Linked DNA regions of Nothobranchius furzeri. Each later gene encodes a partner of the first gene's protein in a complex. Links are inferred from orthologs where the notes say so. Each region holds a gene or a part of one and is shown in the gene's direction. Other genes may lie near its edges.

Region 1 (4,546 bases):
AGATTGGTAGGACTTGCTGAATGTTGACTTTGATAACTTAGTGAATGATCATGGCTGCAGGCTAGTAACAACTGTTTTTCCACAGAGCTGACTTCAGAATACGCTGCAACCAGGAAACAGTTTAATAGAAGTCTGAGTGAGTTTGGTTTGATCCAGGTAGGGGAGTTACCTCTGAGTGGAATGTGTTCAGTGAATGGTTGTGTTAGAAATGTGTGAAGAGTTTGTTTTGATCCTGTAGGAGAAGTTTGCACTGATGGCCATTAATGCCTTTGTGATGGAAAGCATGGCATACCTGACAGCTGGGATGATGGACAGACCAGGAGTACCAGAGTGTTCCCTCGAGGCTGCCATGGTGAAGGTTAGATTGCTTTGATATTTTATCTTCATATGAAACTAGTGTGAGACAACTGTTCTTACAGTGTCTTGTCTGTCCTCTGCAGGTGTTCAGCTCCGAGGGAGGCTGGGTCTGCTGCAGTGAAGCTCTGCAGGTTCTGGGAGGGCTGGGTTATACCAAGAACTATCCATTTGAGCGCTACCTCAGGGACTGTCGCATCCTGCCCATCTTTGAGGTACTGGATAAACTAGTGAGATCCACATTGGAATGTTCTAGCAGCTAAAAGACATTTTTTTCTAATGTACTGGTGAAACTTAAATGTTTTCAACAGAAATTATATGGAAACTGAGTTGCAGCCACCACTCAGATTTTCTTTTGCACTTGTGCATGTGTCGTGCATAGGCGAGCCAGCGACGTGATCCCAGAATGAAGAAAAATGACAACTTTTCGTTGCTGTCGCTCGGACAAGGACCAATCAGTGAAGGTTTCATTGATTGACCAATGAGCAGACAGGATGCTTCCCAGTACATTGTCGAGCAAACGAGAAGGAAAAGTTCATACTTGCAGCATCATATCCCAGAGCATTAGAAAACTTCTACAAAAGAACATAGAGATCTTCACAAAAAAGGCAGCGGCATGGGGAATTGTTTTTGATTTAGCATCACTGGCAATGGGCACCTGCCAGTAACCTCGAGCGAGGTCCAGAGTTGTGAGAAACGGGGGTGGGGGGTGGGGGGGGGCTGCAATGCACATAAGACGCAAACTTACATTGTAAAGAAGGAACATGAGGGATTGTCGCCCATGATAACAGTTCTGGAGGGTACATGTGTTGTCAATGAATTGAGAGTCATAAAGTCCACGCCAACAATTAACTCACTCACTGCCAATGACGACTAAAGTCGTCATTTTAGATCCAACCGTTACTTTTAAACTTGAAATTTGCCCCCAAAGTCGCTGCCGGCTTCTGATCCGCCGTCCTTTTGAAAATACTGCGGTGTGTTATGGGTGATTTTTGACCAAGGCTAGGCTACAAGAAGACACCTCCCGTGTATCCTCGCTCAGCTAGCTAAACGGCTAACAAACGGAGAACACACCCCTCAGTAGAACATGAAAATTGGAACACGTGTTGGCGGCTCCCGATGACGTATCTCCTAGGCAACTGGGGCGGGGCCAAGATATCAAGGCAAGGCATTGAGAAACACCCAGGATAAAAGGTTGTTGCTGGATTATGACATCATTCCTTTGCAACCAACAAAGTCTTAAAGTGACACAAACCCATTATATCTGTTACACAGCGCCAGGGTAAAGCCAATAGAAGGAAAACACTGTACCCTTTAGCAGGACTATAACTTCAAAAGTTAGTCTGTGATAGTTTTTCTCAGTGAAGCACAACCTTTGAATGAAATTACCCCTAAAACTATCCTACCAAATGTGCTGATAAAAGTTTTGTTGAGCCCATCCTTGAGAGAAAAAATTGTTCTGAATGTATTGTTTGTGTCCAGGGAACCAATGAGATCCTGAGGATGTACATTGCTCTGACTGGAATGCAGCATGCTGGGAATGTCCTCACTAGGAAAGTAAAGTATGTGTCTATAAGGCCTTTTCCACTACTCATTGTGGCTTGACTTGGCTCGGCTCTATTCTGCACAGTTTGGGTGGTTTTCTTTTACAACTTTTCTAGTGGGAGAACTCGTTGTAGCGGGTTGGCACATTACAGTCACAGGGATATGTAGTGGTAGTTTTGTCAGATGCCAGCTGAAAAACTCTGGAGTAACAAGTCACTCTTGACGGTTTTAGGCAGAAAATCTAAATTCTTAAGATTAACTAAAACACAAAAATAATGACTACAAGTGTCTACAGCTCTATTAGACATTGACTTATTTATACAGTTTATCAGCAAAGAAAAGTTCATTTGGGGATGACTTACTCTTTCAAGGTCAACTGTACTCATGTTTAAATACACGTGCAGTGGTCTCTAGTAGGAATGAATGCCTTATAAGTTGTACTTTGGGGGGAAATAAGCTCAGATGTGCCTGTTTCAGGAACTAGAAGTAAGCCACCTCAGAGGTAAGCTTCAGACGGCATGATTTGGAGTCTTATAGGGAGCCTAAGTCACGCCTGTCTACTTCCGGAACATGGGTCACCAGAAGAATTAAAAATTATTGCTTATTTTCGAACAAGGGGAAACATTATTTTAGGTTTTCTGTGAAAATGCAACCAGGACTACAAATGCGCATCACCAATATGACGTCATCGAACCAGACACAAAGAAGGTCATTATACCATACCATACCAATTTTATTTATATAGCACATTTAAACACGGCATGAGAGCCGACCAAAGTGCTGAACAAAACACACAATAAAAACAATCAAAAATAAAAACTAAATCCATTAAAATCAAGTAATCCAACCCTAAAAGGAAAGGTAGAAAGGGAATAAGTTAGACAGAATTAAAAGCCAGAGAATAAAAGTGAGTTTTTAAACGAGACTTAAAAAGGGAAAGAGAGGAAGAGAGTCTGATCGGGAGGGGCAAGTGGTTCCAGAGCTTCGGTGCACAAACTGAAAAGGCGCGCTCCCCGCGGGACTTACAGCGAGAGCTAGGGACATGTAGGAGGTGTTGGTCAGCTGAGCGGAGAGATCTTGTAGGGACATATGGGTGAATGAGCTCAGACAAGTAGCCAGGTGCTAAGTTATTTAGGGATTTAAACACAAAAACCAGGATCTTAAACTCTATCCGGAGATGGATGGGGAGCCAATGGAGATTTGCTAAAACCGGAGTGATGTGTTCCCGCTGCCTGGTGCCAGTCAAGAAACGAGCTGCTGCGTTCTGCACAAGCTGAAGTCGAGCGAGAGTGGAGGAGGAGATACCGTACAGCACTGAGTTAGAGTAGTCGAGACGGGAAGCAATAAATGCATGGACAACTGAATGAAGATGACGCCTTTTTAAAATGGGCTTAACTTTAGAGAGACGCCTCAGGTGGTAATAACAGGTCTTAACTACCTGGTTGACATGAATGTCCATTATGGTTGTAAGTTCAGCGAAATTCAAACCCTGCTTTCGGGGAGAAATAACCATCATAAATCTGGTCATGTGGCAGCTACGCTAGGGGAGAGGAGATTTTGTGGTGACTTCATATATGCGACGTACCAACGATTGATTTGTAGACATGCTAATTATGAATTTTTACAAGCCGATAAATCTCAAAGTACGTGACTGGCGTGGTTGAAATACACATTACTTTTCATTTAAATTTAAGTACAACATATGTGCGATTCAGGGCTTAAGGGAAAGCAGATTTAAAAATAGCTCTTTTAGCCCCGTTGACTTGCATTCATGTTTTTGTTCTTCTGGAGACTCGTGAACTGACTGGAAAGAGAGGATCACCTCACCTCCGCCTGGACCAGTTTGGAAGTGTTCTCATTTAGATAGCCTTGGATTTTCCCGCACGCAACCGGATGTCTTTTCAGCCCTCTTCCTGAGGCAGTCTGCCTGGAGCTAAACTGGTCCAGCACGCATGCTGCTGACTGATTGTCTGGCTCAAAATCATGCGTAGCAATACGGGAGCCTCGGATTGGTAAATAGGATCAGTCTGCCGGGGCTTCCTGCATGTGCGATTCATTATCATTCTGGATGCATGGAGCTAGCGACCCTCTGACTGAAGCTGTTTTTCTCTGTCTCTCACTGCTGTGAGGAGCGCACATGCACGCATGCACACACACACACACACACACACACACACACACACACACACACACACACACAGTACTGCTAGACAACAGCAAAGCAGAATTTATAATCTTAAGAGTTAGCAGGGTATCCGCGGGTCCTTAAAAAGTCTTAAATTAGCTTTTCCAAATTTAAGGCCTTAAAAATCCTTAAAAATGACAAATAATCCTTAAATACAATTTCCAAAGGTCTAAAATTACCAAAGACCCAATAAATAAGATTATTTTATTTCAATTTTCATGAATTTCTAGTTAGTGTTCAGCATTTTTTGTGTATGATATTGGCGTAAGCAAAACCGTACACATTCAGTTAGTTGTGAAAGGGGGCTTTTTTAGATGAGCACATTAGCTGGTTAAGCTAGTGGGAGATTGCACCATGGGGACGTGCAACTTTTATGGTAACTGGATGGCTAATCCCACATTCGCAATAGCTGGAAATTATAGTTTAAATTTCATTTTAAAAAATAGCTTAAATTTGGTCAAA
Region 2 (4,146 bases), on another chromosome or scaffold:
AGGATAAAACACGCATTATGAACGTACAAGAGGAAGTAGGCTTTGCTAACTCAGCAATTTGCTGTTTCTCACCTGAGCCGATGTTTTGCAGCTGCATCCAGCTTCCTGAGCTCTGAAAATTTGATCTGGCTGAGACGTCCCGACCCATTGGTGGTCCGATCCACAGTCTCATCGTGCATCAGTATTGGGACCCCATCAGCGGAGAACTCCAGGTCTAACTCCACACCAGTTGCACCATTCTTACTGGCCTGCAGGTAAAAGCATTGGAGAACCAAGTCACCGTGAGCCAAAAAAGTAGATGCATTAAAATATCACATTATAAACATTTTGACGTGTGTCGTACACACTTTGGTTTAGTTCATTTGAAAATAAGCACGTTTAGATTTCAATCTCCTTAAATGGTTAGATAGTGCAAATGTAACCTGGGAGAGCTGTATCACACTGTGTGTGTGTGTGTGAGTGTGTGTAAATTGTGTGGGTGCAGCACTGGGCCGATTGGGGGAAGCTCAAGTCATCGTCACTACCTTCATACATGTTGGTTTGGTGAAGACAATTCAACTTCCCCCTGGATTTGAACTGGTCTCCCTGCCCTGTTTTGTAGGCACAACCTGCACAGACCGAGCTTTTATTTGGACTTTTAGCTTTTGCAATCTTTAATAAATTATCTATTTTTGAAGCGATCCGATTCTGTGCTTCATTGCCCACATTAATGCTGGTTGGTCAGACTCACTTCATGTAACATCTTGGGGGCTGATCTGCGGGTGTTACACAAATGTGTATTAAAGTGGAGGTATTACATTTTTAATCAATGACTAACTAAATCTCGCCATTAGAAGAAACAGCCGCTCTAGGTCGTGTGAAGGTTAACGGTTTAACGTCTTCCCTCCCCAGTGTCCCTTCTCACCTCCCGTATGGCTGCTATTGTGTTCTCCGGTGCGTCGTGTCCTCCGCCCCGGTGAGCGATCACAGACACCTTACCGCTGCCCACTGCACGGGAGTCTGGATGCAACACCTGCCGGGCTCGGCTGGTCGTCACCTGCGGGAACCGAAACATGGCTAGAAAGAAGTAGAGGGAAGCGGTGAGGACAGCCGACCACACCGGACTCCGCGTCCCCAGCAGGACCACCACGAGGACAAGTGAGTAGAGGGTGACTTCATCTCCCAGCTGAAGCATTGTAGACGACTTCTTGGGTTCACGAGCGCAGATTTTCTTCAGTTTGACATTTTCTTTCCTGTTAAGCTATTTTTCTTGGTTAAAAACGCGATGTTTCACACACATCCATGCTCCGTGTTATATTCTGACAGCAGCTATTAAGTGGAGCATTAAACCACATCTAAGCCGGAGAAAGCTAGAAACTGCTAGGACGGTTGAGCCGCTGAACGACCAAACGGGAGGACAACATTTCAGGTGGCACGTCGTAACGGCTGTGACCGGATGTTACGTAAAACAGGCGCGACCTTTGTCAAAGTAAACCAATAAAACTAACTCGTTATTTCACGAATCACACATTCAATGACATTTATTCTTCTACACTAAAACAACTGTAAATCCCACTTTGCTGGAGAACATATCTCGGAGGCTTGAAATATATTTCATTAAGTGGGGAAAACATTTTTCGACGGACCGAAACACATCTCGGCGCATCCCCGGATGTGGTTCTAAATAGGTTCGCTACATGCCGTTTGCAGCTCTTATTCAGTGTGAACAATTTCATACATTTTTTAAATTAAAATGTATACTTTACTAATGTTTCTAATGTGAGGAGAGTAAACGAGATCTTTAGGAACACACGGTTGTAACATCCGGGTCACAAAGCTGGACGTCTTCATGCCAAAAGTGGACTTGGGACTATTTTTGACTTTACCTGTGAATTAACCAGTCGTTGGCCATGGTGAGCATCATAGTGAGACTATTAATATTACTGTTATTACAGTGTTATCAAATTCAAAGGAATTGGTGGATCAAATAGATCAAACAATCCTACCCGCGAAATGCCCTTGAGCTTGATTTGATTCAGCTAGGAGATTAATTTGACCTCATTCTGAATAAGGGTTAACAGTTTTAATGTAAAACAGATCGAGACTTTATTCTGCTGTTAATATTTGGCTCAATTAGGTGACTGCATATTGCCTGACTGAATGTCGTATTTAATGTTTTTTTTCCCCCACAGATCAGGTCGATGTTGCTGAGCAGATTAACCCACCACACCCTGTCCTGCACAAGAGGATCATGTTTACTCTCTGGACGAGTGTCTAATGGTTTACAGTCTCATTTTTCAGGTCATACACCCATCCATCAGACCTCCCATGGACCCCTCACTCCTAAAATCACAACCTCCGTCAGATACTCAGACCTATCCACGCAGAAATTCTCTATGATTTACACGCTGCCACACATTAAGCTTCTCAGAGTCGTGTCCAGGCTCAAACTGCTCCAAACTGCAATCACTGCGGTCATCATTCCACCCATGTATTTCCTTTACTTCCAGGGTGACGTGTCCTTCTTTCTAGTATGCTACTCTACGGGGATTGCACTGTTTGCTGGTGTCATGCTGTATACTATGAGTCACTTCTTTAGAAGGGTTGTGGGGATGATGTACCTGGATCCATCCCAGACCACACTCAAAGTTTCTCACCTCACTTTTTGGGGCAAGCGTCAAGACACCTACCTACCCGTGTCAGACGTTTTGACCATCTGGGACACAGGAGACATGGAGAATGAGACCATACTGAAACTGAAGAGATACAGTAGTCCAGAGACAATGTATTTTTCTACTTATTACGGACGCGTTGTTGACAAGCAGGGCTTTGAGAGAGTGTTTGGGAGGCTAAAATAATTCTTCATTCAAAATGTGATCAACTAAATCACTGCTTTCAAGTATTGTAATAAGATCCAACAAATATACAAAAATATCCTGTTTTGAAATAAATGATTCAATTTCAATGTTTTCATTTCTTGATTTAAATAAATGTGACTAATGAGTGTCTGACTCTAGCCTCTTTACCTGGCCAGGTGAGTCGGACAGGTAAATGTTTTGATGTGTTTAATATCTGATGGCTCTGCAGAGTGGATCTATTCCCTTTACTGTTGATCTTATTGGTCCATTAGAGGTCTGAATGTGGTCATAAAACCCCCCTGGAGTTTTAGAGGAATCCTGCAGTTGAGTTTTCTTCCAACCTGATCATCCTGCATGGAAATGTGACTATTGATAAATTTTATTTGGAAAATCTATAATTTTTTGGGTTTCTTAATAGAATTCTATATGTTACAGATAAAAAAACTAATATTGTGAAGCAGACTGATTATGGTCTCGTACACAAGTTATAAAAAATTTAAGTTGACAAATTACAAATATCAGAGACACTGCAGTGAGGCATTTTCAATTAAAACATTTTCAGCTATTTGTAACATACATCTTTAGACAAAAACATCTAATCAGTTCTTCCAATAAACATTCAAATAATTACAAGATAAAATCCATGCATTTGAGTTTCCTGTATAGGAAATTTTCTCCAAACTCATCAGAAACACTTTTCCATTGCAACTCAGTCAAAAAAATAAAGCAAAATTATGCTGCAGATTTAAAATGCACTGGTAATAAGCTTTTATCAAACACGAGGGTCAATTATTTCCTGTTTCTCATATCATCTTGTATGTTGTTAAAACCTTTTGGCAGGCCTTTGGAGCATTTAGTGATTATACCAAGAGTCAGTAGATCCCATAGAAACAAAATAGCCAAAAGAGAATAAGAGCTAACAGCAAGAAATGTCCAGGGAAAATTACTAAAATGAAACAAAACTTTTGCATCTTTAGTAAATGAGACAAAATCCACCAAGAGATATAAATGAGAATGTTTGAAAAGATGGTTAACTGACAGAATTTTAAAACAAAACAACCCCTGAAAACCAACTGTTACAAATTTACAAAATAGCTACAATGAAGGTCAAGACAGCAGAAAAGTGACAATAAATGTTCAAATTAAATTACAAACGAAAAAAAAATAGAACTGAAAGATAAAAATGACTAAAGATGTTTGGAATTTTATGGATTTAAACACAAAAAAGATCTGAAGATTGAATTAAATAAATGATAAAGAGGTGTAAACATAATTGTAAATGTATAATCATCGAATATGTGTTGTGTTT
Region 3 (4,976 bases), about 82 Mb from region 1:
ATGTCCTTGCTGCGTTACCGGTATTAGTGCACAAAATGGATGTTATCTCAGAGAGGGTCACCGGACGGTGTGGGGATGATTAAAACCTGAACTGGCTTAACTGGAGGACTTGAATGATCAATACAGACTTCAAGGCAGAGAGGAAAATTATCTCAGCCTGACCCAAACAAAGTCTTGTTATCCAAATCTGACGCCAAGGCAGCCTTGAGCTGCTGACAACAACCCCCATGAAGGAAGGAATGCAAACAGATGTTGTGAAAACCCGTCCCCCCCCCCCCCCTTCAGATTGTGGACTTCTAGTGAGGTCATCAACCTGCAGGAACTCAAATGTGCTCTGCGCTTCTCCAAGATCTCCCTCCCTCCTGTGGATACAGCTGGCTGAGCGCCACACAGGGCTGCTCGCCCTGGGGAAACAGGATCCCAGCCCCCCCCCCCCCCCCATCGGAGTCTCATGTTGTGAACTGTGATGTTCGTGCTTATATGTTTGAGGCGTTTTTTTTTTTTTTGCATAGTAAAGCTACGCCCTGCCGGGAGTAACTCTGGTGTGCCTTTTTTCCCCTCCCCCAATTTATCCTCATGTAATTCCCTTTTCATCTTTTAAGGTAGCACGACTCGTGTTGCGAATGACCACAGTCACTAATTCTTGTCATGTGTCTTGCCCATGTATGTCTGATCTCTGAATTGTGTGTACTAAAACTCAATTTCATTTCTCTGTATGTCTTGCACATGTGGTAGAATTGACAATAAAACTGACTGTGACTGCTGTTGTCTTTGAGTTAATGGATCTTCCATTCTAGAAGTCTCTGTTCCGTCACAGGGACACACACACGACACAGACAAACAACAACTCTGACCTAACATGCATGTTTTTGGTAGGTGGGAGGAAACCAGAGGTCATAGTCTTTAAATCATAAACGGCCTGTGTTTGATATAGCACCTTCTACAGTGATGGAACCCCCCAAGGCGCTTTACAACACAATCAGTCATTCACCCATTCACACACACACATTCACACCCTGGTGGTGATGAGCTACAGCTGCCCTGGGGCACGCTGACAGAGGTGAGGCTGCTGAGCACAGGCGCCACCGGTCCCTCCGACCACCACCAGCAACAGCAGCAGGTGAGTTGAGTGTCTTGCCCAAGGACACAACAGCAGCAACAAACTGAGCGGGGCTTGAACCTGCAACCTTCCGGTTACGGGTGAGCACCTAACTCCTGTGCCACCGTCGCCCCTACACTGATGTTGTCTTGTCAGTTTTTCATGAATAATCTGTAGTCTGTGTGGTGTGCTTGTTCTGATTCCTAACAGTCGCTCCTTTAAATGATAAAAACACGTATTCCTTTTGTGATGCTGTAAAACCAGTCTTTATTTTAGCCTTTCATGATTACAGTTTTAATAGTTTTTGTTATGAATTAGCCTCCGCAGCACATTTTTATTTTCATATTAAATACTTGAGTTTTAGACGAAAATGAGTCAGAAGAAAAAAAAAAAGCCAAGCGGAACGATTATCTCGGTAAATGTTCCCGCTGTTCAAGGGGAAGTATTTCGGTGTAGAAACAGGACGTTCTCGCGGCTTTCTAACATGGAGGCGAGCACAGAGACGAGTTTTGAAGGAGACTGAATTCACAGTGAGTTTTTCAGCCTGCTGTTGTTAGAGGAACATCCGGTTCAGGCAGCGCGCGACACTAGCTGTCTGCTACAGCATACATAAATGTAACGATGATGTCATTTTACCTGAAACCTAAGTGCCCACCTGGTTGTCTCGTCCTGTTAGCTGTGAGCTAGTCGGAAAGCGCAACGATGAGGTGTTCCCGCAGCCTCCTGCCGCTGCTGCTCCGGTCCGGTAGACCAGCCTCCGGTCAGACCAACCAGAACCACCGTCAGCACCAGGTGAGCTTTTTAACCAGGCAGTGTCGTAAACACGAGCACACCTGGCCCGGGAACAAACCCCTACGGGTTTTAGCGTGTCCTCAGTATGCGAGGTCAACAGAGTGAGATGTTGTCCTCCAGCAGTCTAAACCCATACAGCATAACTAAAGGGATGAGCCAGGGTTACCCAGTATGTCCTCCAGCAGCCTAAACCCATACAGCATAACTAAAGGGATGAGCCAGGGTTACCCAGTACATCCTCCAGCAGTCTAAACCCATACAGCATAACTAAAGGGATGAGCCAGGGTTACCCAGTATGTCCTCCAGCAGTCTAAACCCATACAGCATAACTAAAGGGATGAGCCAGGGTTACCCAGTACATCCTCCAGCAATCTAAACCCATACAGCATAACTAAAGGGATGAGCCAGGGTAACTCAGTATGTCCTCCAGCAGCCTAAACCCATACAGCATAGCTAAAGGGATGAGCCAGGGTTACCCAGTACATCCTCCAGCAGCCTAAACCCATACAGCATAACTAAAGGGATGAGCCAGGGTTACCCAGTACATCCTCCAGCAGCCTAAACCCATACAGCATAACTAAAGGGATGAGCCAGGGTAACTCAGTACGTCCTCCAGCAGCCTAAACCCATACAGCATAACTAAAGGGATGAGCCAGGGTTACCCAGTATGTCCTCCAGCAGCCTAAACCCATACAGCATAACTAAAGGGATGAGCCAGGGTTACCCAGTATGTCCTCCAGCAGCCTAAACCCATACAGCATAACTAAAGGGATGAGCCAGGGTTACCCAGTATGTCCTCCAGCAGCCTAAACCCATACAGCATAGCTAAAGGGATGAGCCAGGGTTACCCAGTATGTCCTCCAGCAGCCTAAACCCATACAGCATAGCTAAAGGGATGAGCCAGGGTTACCCAGTATTTCCAGCAGTCTAAAGCCATACAGCATAACTAAAGGGATGAGCCAGGGTAACTCAGTATGTCCTCCAGCAGTCTAAACCCATACAGCATAACTAAAGGGATGAGCCAGGGTAACTCAGTATGTCCTCCAGCAGTCTAAACCCATACAGCATAACTAAAGGGATGAGCCAGGGTTACCCAGTATGTCCTCCAGCAGTCTAAACCCATACAGCATAACTAAAGGGATGAGCCAGGGTTACCCAGTATGTCCTCCAGCAGTCTAAACCCATACAGCATAACTAAAGGGATGAGCCAGGGTTACCCAGTATGTCCTCCAGCAGTCTAAACCCATACAGCATAACTAAAGGGATGAGCCAGGGTTACCCAGTATGTCCTCCAGCAGTCTAAACCCATACAGCATAACTAAAGGGATGAGCCAGGGTAACTCAGTATGTCCTCCAGCAGCCTAAACCCATACAGCATAACTAAAGGGATGAGCCAGGGTAACTCAGTATGTCCTCCAGCAGTCTAAACCCATACAGCATAGCTAAAGGGATGAGCCAGGGTTACCCAGTATGTCCTCCAGCAGTCTAAACCCATACAGCATAACTAAAGGGATGAGCCAGGGTAACTCAGTATGTCCTCCAGCAGCCTAAACCCATACAGCATAACTAAAGGGATGAGCCAGGGTAACTCAGTATGTCCTTCAGCAGTCTAAACCCATACAGCATAACTAAAGGGATGAGCCAGGGTTACCCAGTATGTCCTCCAGCAGCCTAAACCCATACAGCATAACTAAAGGGATGAGCCAGGGTAACTCAGTATGTCCTCCAGCAGTCTAAACCCATACAGCATAACTAAAGGGATGAGCCAGGGTTACCCAGTATGTCCTCCAGCAGTCTAAACCCATACAGCATAACTAAAGGGATGAGCCAGGGTTACCCAGTATGTCCTCCAGCAGCCTAAACCCATACAGCATAACTAAAGGGATGAGCCAGGGTAACTCAGTATGTCCTTCAGCAGTCTAAACCCATACAGCATAACTAAAGGGATGAGCCAGGGTAACTCAGTATGTCCTCCAGCAGTCTAAACCCATACAGCATAGCTAAAGGGATGAGCCAGGGTTACCCAGTATGTCCTCCAGCAGTCTAAACCCATACAGCATAACTAAAGGGATGAGCCAGGGTAACTCAGTATGTCCTCCAGCAGTCTAAACCCATACAGCATAACTAAAGGGATGAGCCAGGGTAACTCAGTATGTCCTCCAGCAGTCTAAACCCATACAGCATAACTAAAGGGATGAGCCAGGGTTACCCAGTACTTCCTCCAGCAGTCGAAACCCATACAGCATAACTAAAGGGATGAGCCAGGGTAACTCAGTATGTCCTCCAGCAGCCTAAACCCATACAGCATAGCTAAAGGGATGAGCCAGGGTTACCCAGTATGTCCTCCAGCAGTCTAAACCCATACAGCATAACTAAAGGGATGAGCCAGGGTAACCCAGTATGTCCTCCAGCAGTCTAAACCCATACAGCATAACTAAAGGGATGAGCCAGGGTAACTCAGTATGTCCTCCAGCAGTCTAAACCCATACAGCATAACTAAAGGGATGAGCCAGGGTTACCCAGTATGTCCTCCAGCAGTCTAAACCCATACAGCATAACTAAAGGGATGAGCCAGGGTAACTCAGTATGTCCTCCAGCAGCCTAAACCCATACAGCATAACTAAAGGGATGAGCCAGGGTAACTCAGTATGTCCTCCAGCAGCCTAAACCCATACAGCATAACTAAAGGGATGAGCCAGGGTTACCCAGTATGTCCTCCAGCAGTCTAAACCCATACAGCATAACTAAAGGGATGAGCCAGGGTAACTCAGTATGTCCTCCAGCAGTCTAAACCCATACAGCATAACTAAATGGATGAGCCAGGGTAACTCAGTATGTCCTCCAGCAGTCTAAACCCATACAGCATAACTAAAGGGATGAGCCAGGGTTACCCAGTACTTCCTCCAGCAGTCGAAACCCATACAGCATAACTAAAGGGATGAGCCAGGGTAACTCAGTATGTCCTCCAGCAGCCTAAACCCATACAGCATAGCTAAAGGGATGAGCCAGGGTTACCCAGTATGTCCTCCAGCAGTCTAAACCCATACAGCATAACTAAAGGGATGAGCCAGGGTAACTCAGTATG

What was found.
Region 2: acad9 (region 1) and tmem186 share a complex: the UniProt entries of both Homo sapiens proteins name them as parts of the mitochondrial complex. The link is inferred for Nothobranchius furzeri from reciprocal best matches to the Homo sapiens genes ACAD9 and TMEM186.
Region 3: the proteins of acad9 (region 1) and ecsit are in contact, whole or in part, in a cryo-EM structure (PDB 8PHE), measured with the Homo sapiens proteins. The link is inferred for Nothobranchius furzeri from reciprocal best matches to the Homo sapiens genes ACAD9 and ECSIT. Residues at the interface, in NP_054768.2 of Homo sapiens: Leu180, Thr181, Asp188, Ala189, Ala190, Ser191, Ile192, Lys228, Lys239, Asp240, Lys241, Ile242, Phe293, Ala296, Met297, Leu300, Ile431, Met434, Tyr435, Leu438, Thr439, Leu441, Gln442, Gly445, Thr449, Leu516, Gly520, Lys521, Ile523, Met524; in NP_057665.2 of Homo sapiens: Pro321, Glu322, Glu323, Trp324, Asn325, Leu326, Tyr327, Tyr328, Pro329, Met330, Leu332, Asp333, Leu334.

The regions. Positions count from the first base shown.
Region 1 is NC_091743.1:6,045,036-6,049,581, forward strand, and holds part of acad9 (complex I assembly factor ACAD9, mitochondrial), read left to right. Parts: intron 1-85; coding exon 86-156; intron 157-238; coding exon 239-358; intron 359-440; coding exon 441-569; intron 570-1,836; coding exon 1,837-1,916; intron 1,917-4,546. UniProt on the Homo sapiens protein: As part of the MCIA complex, primarily participates in the assembly of the mitochondrial complex I and therefore plays a role in oxidative phosphorylation.
Region 2 is NC_091744.1:5,452,559-5,456,704, reverse strand, and holds tmem186 (transmembrane protein 186), read left to right. Parts: upstream 1-1,626; 5' UTR 1,627-1,889; coding exon 1,890-1,892; intron 1,893-2,171; coding exon 2,172-2,837; 3' UTR 2,838-2,983; downstream 2,984-4,146. Other genes in the region: gde1 (glycerophosphodiester phosphodiesterase 1), read right to left, coding at 73-248, 905-1,174. UniProt on the Homo sapiens protein: As part of the MCIA complex, required for efficient assembly of the mitochondrial complex I.
Region 3 is NC_091743.1:88,487,398-88,492,373, forward strand, and holds the start of ecsit (evolutionarily conserved signaling intermediate in Toll pathway, mitochondrial), read left to right. Parts: upstream 1-1,513; 5' UTR 1,514-1,629; intron 1,630-1,775; 5' UTR 1,776-1,801; coding exon 1,802-1,891; intron 1,892-4,976.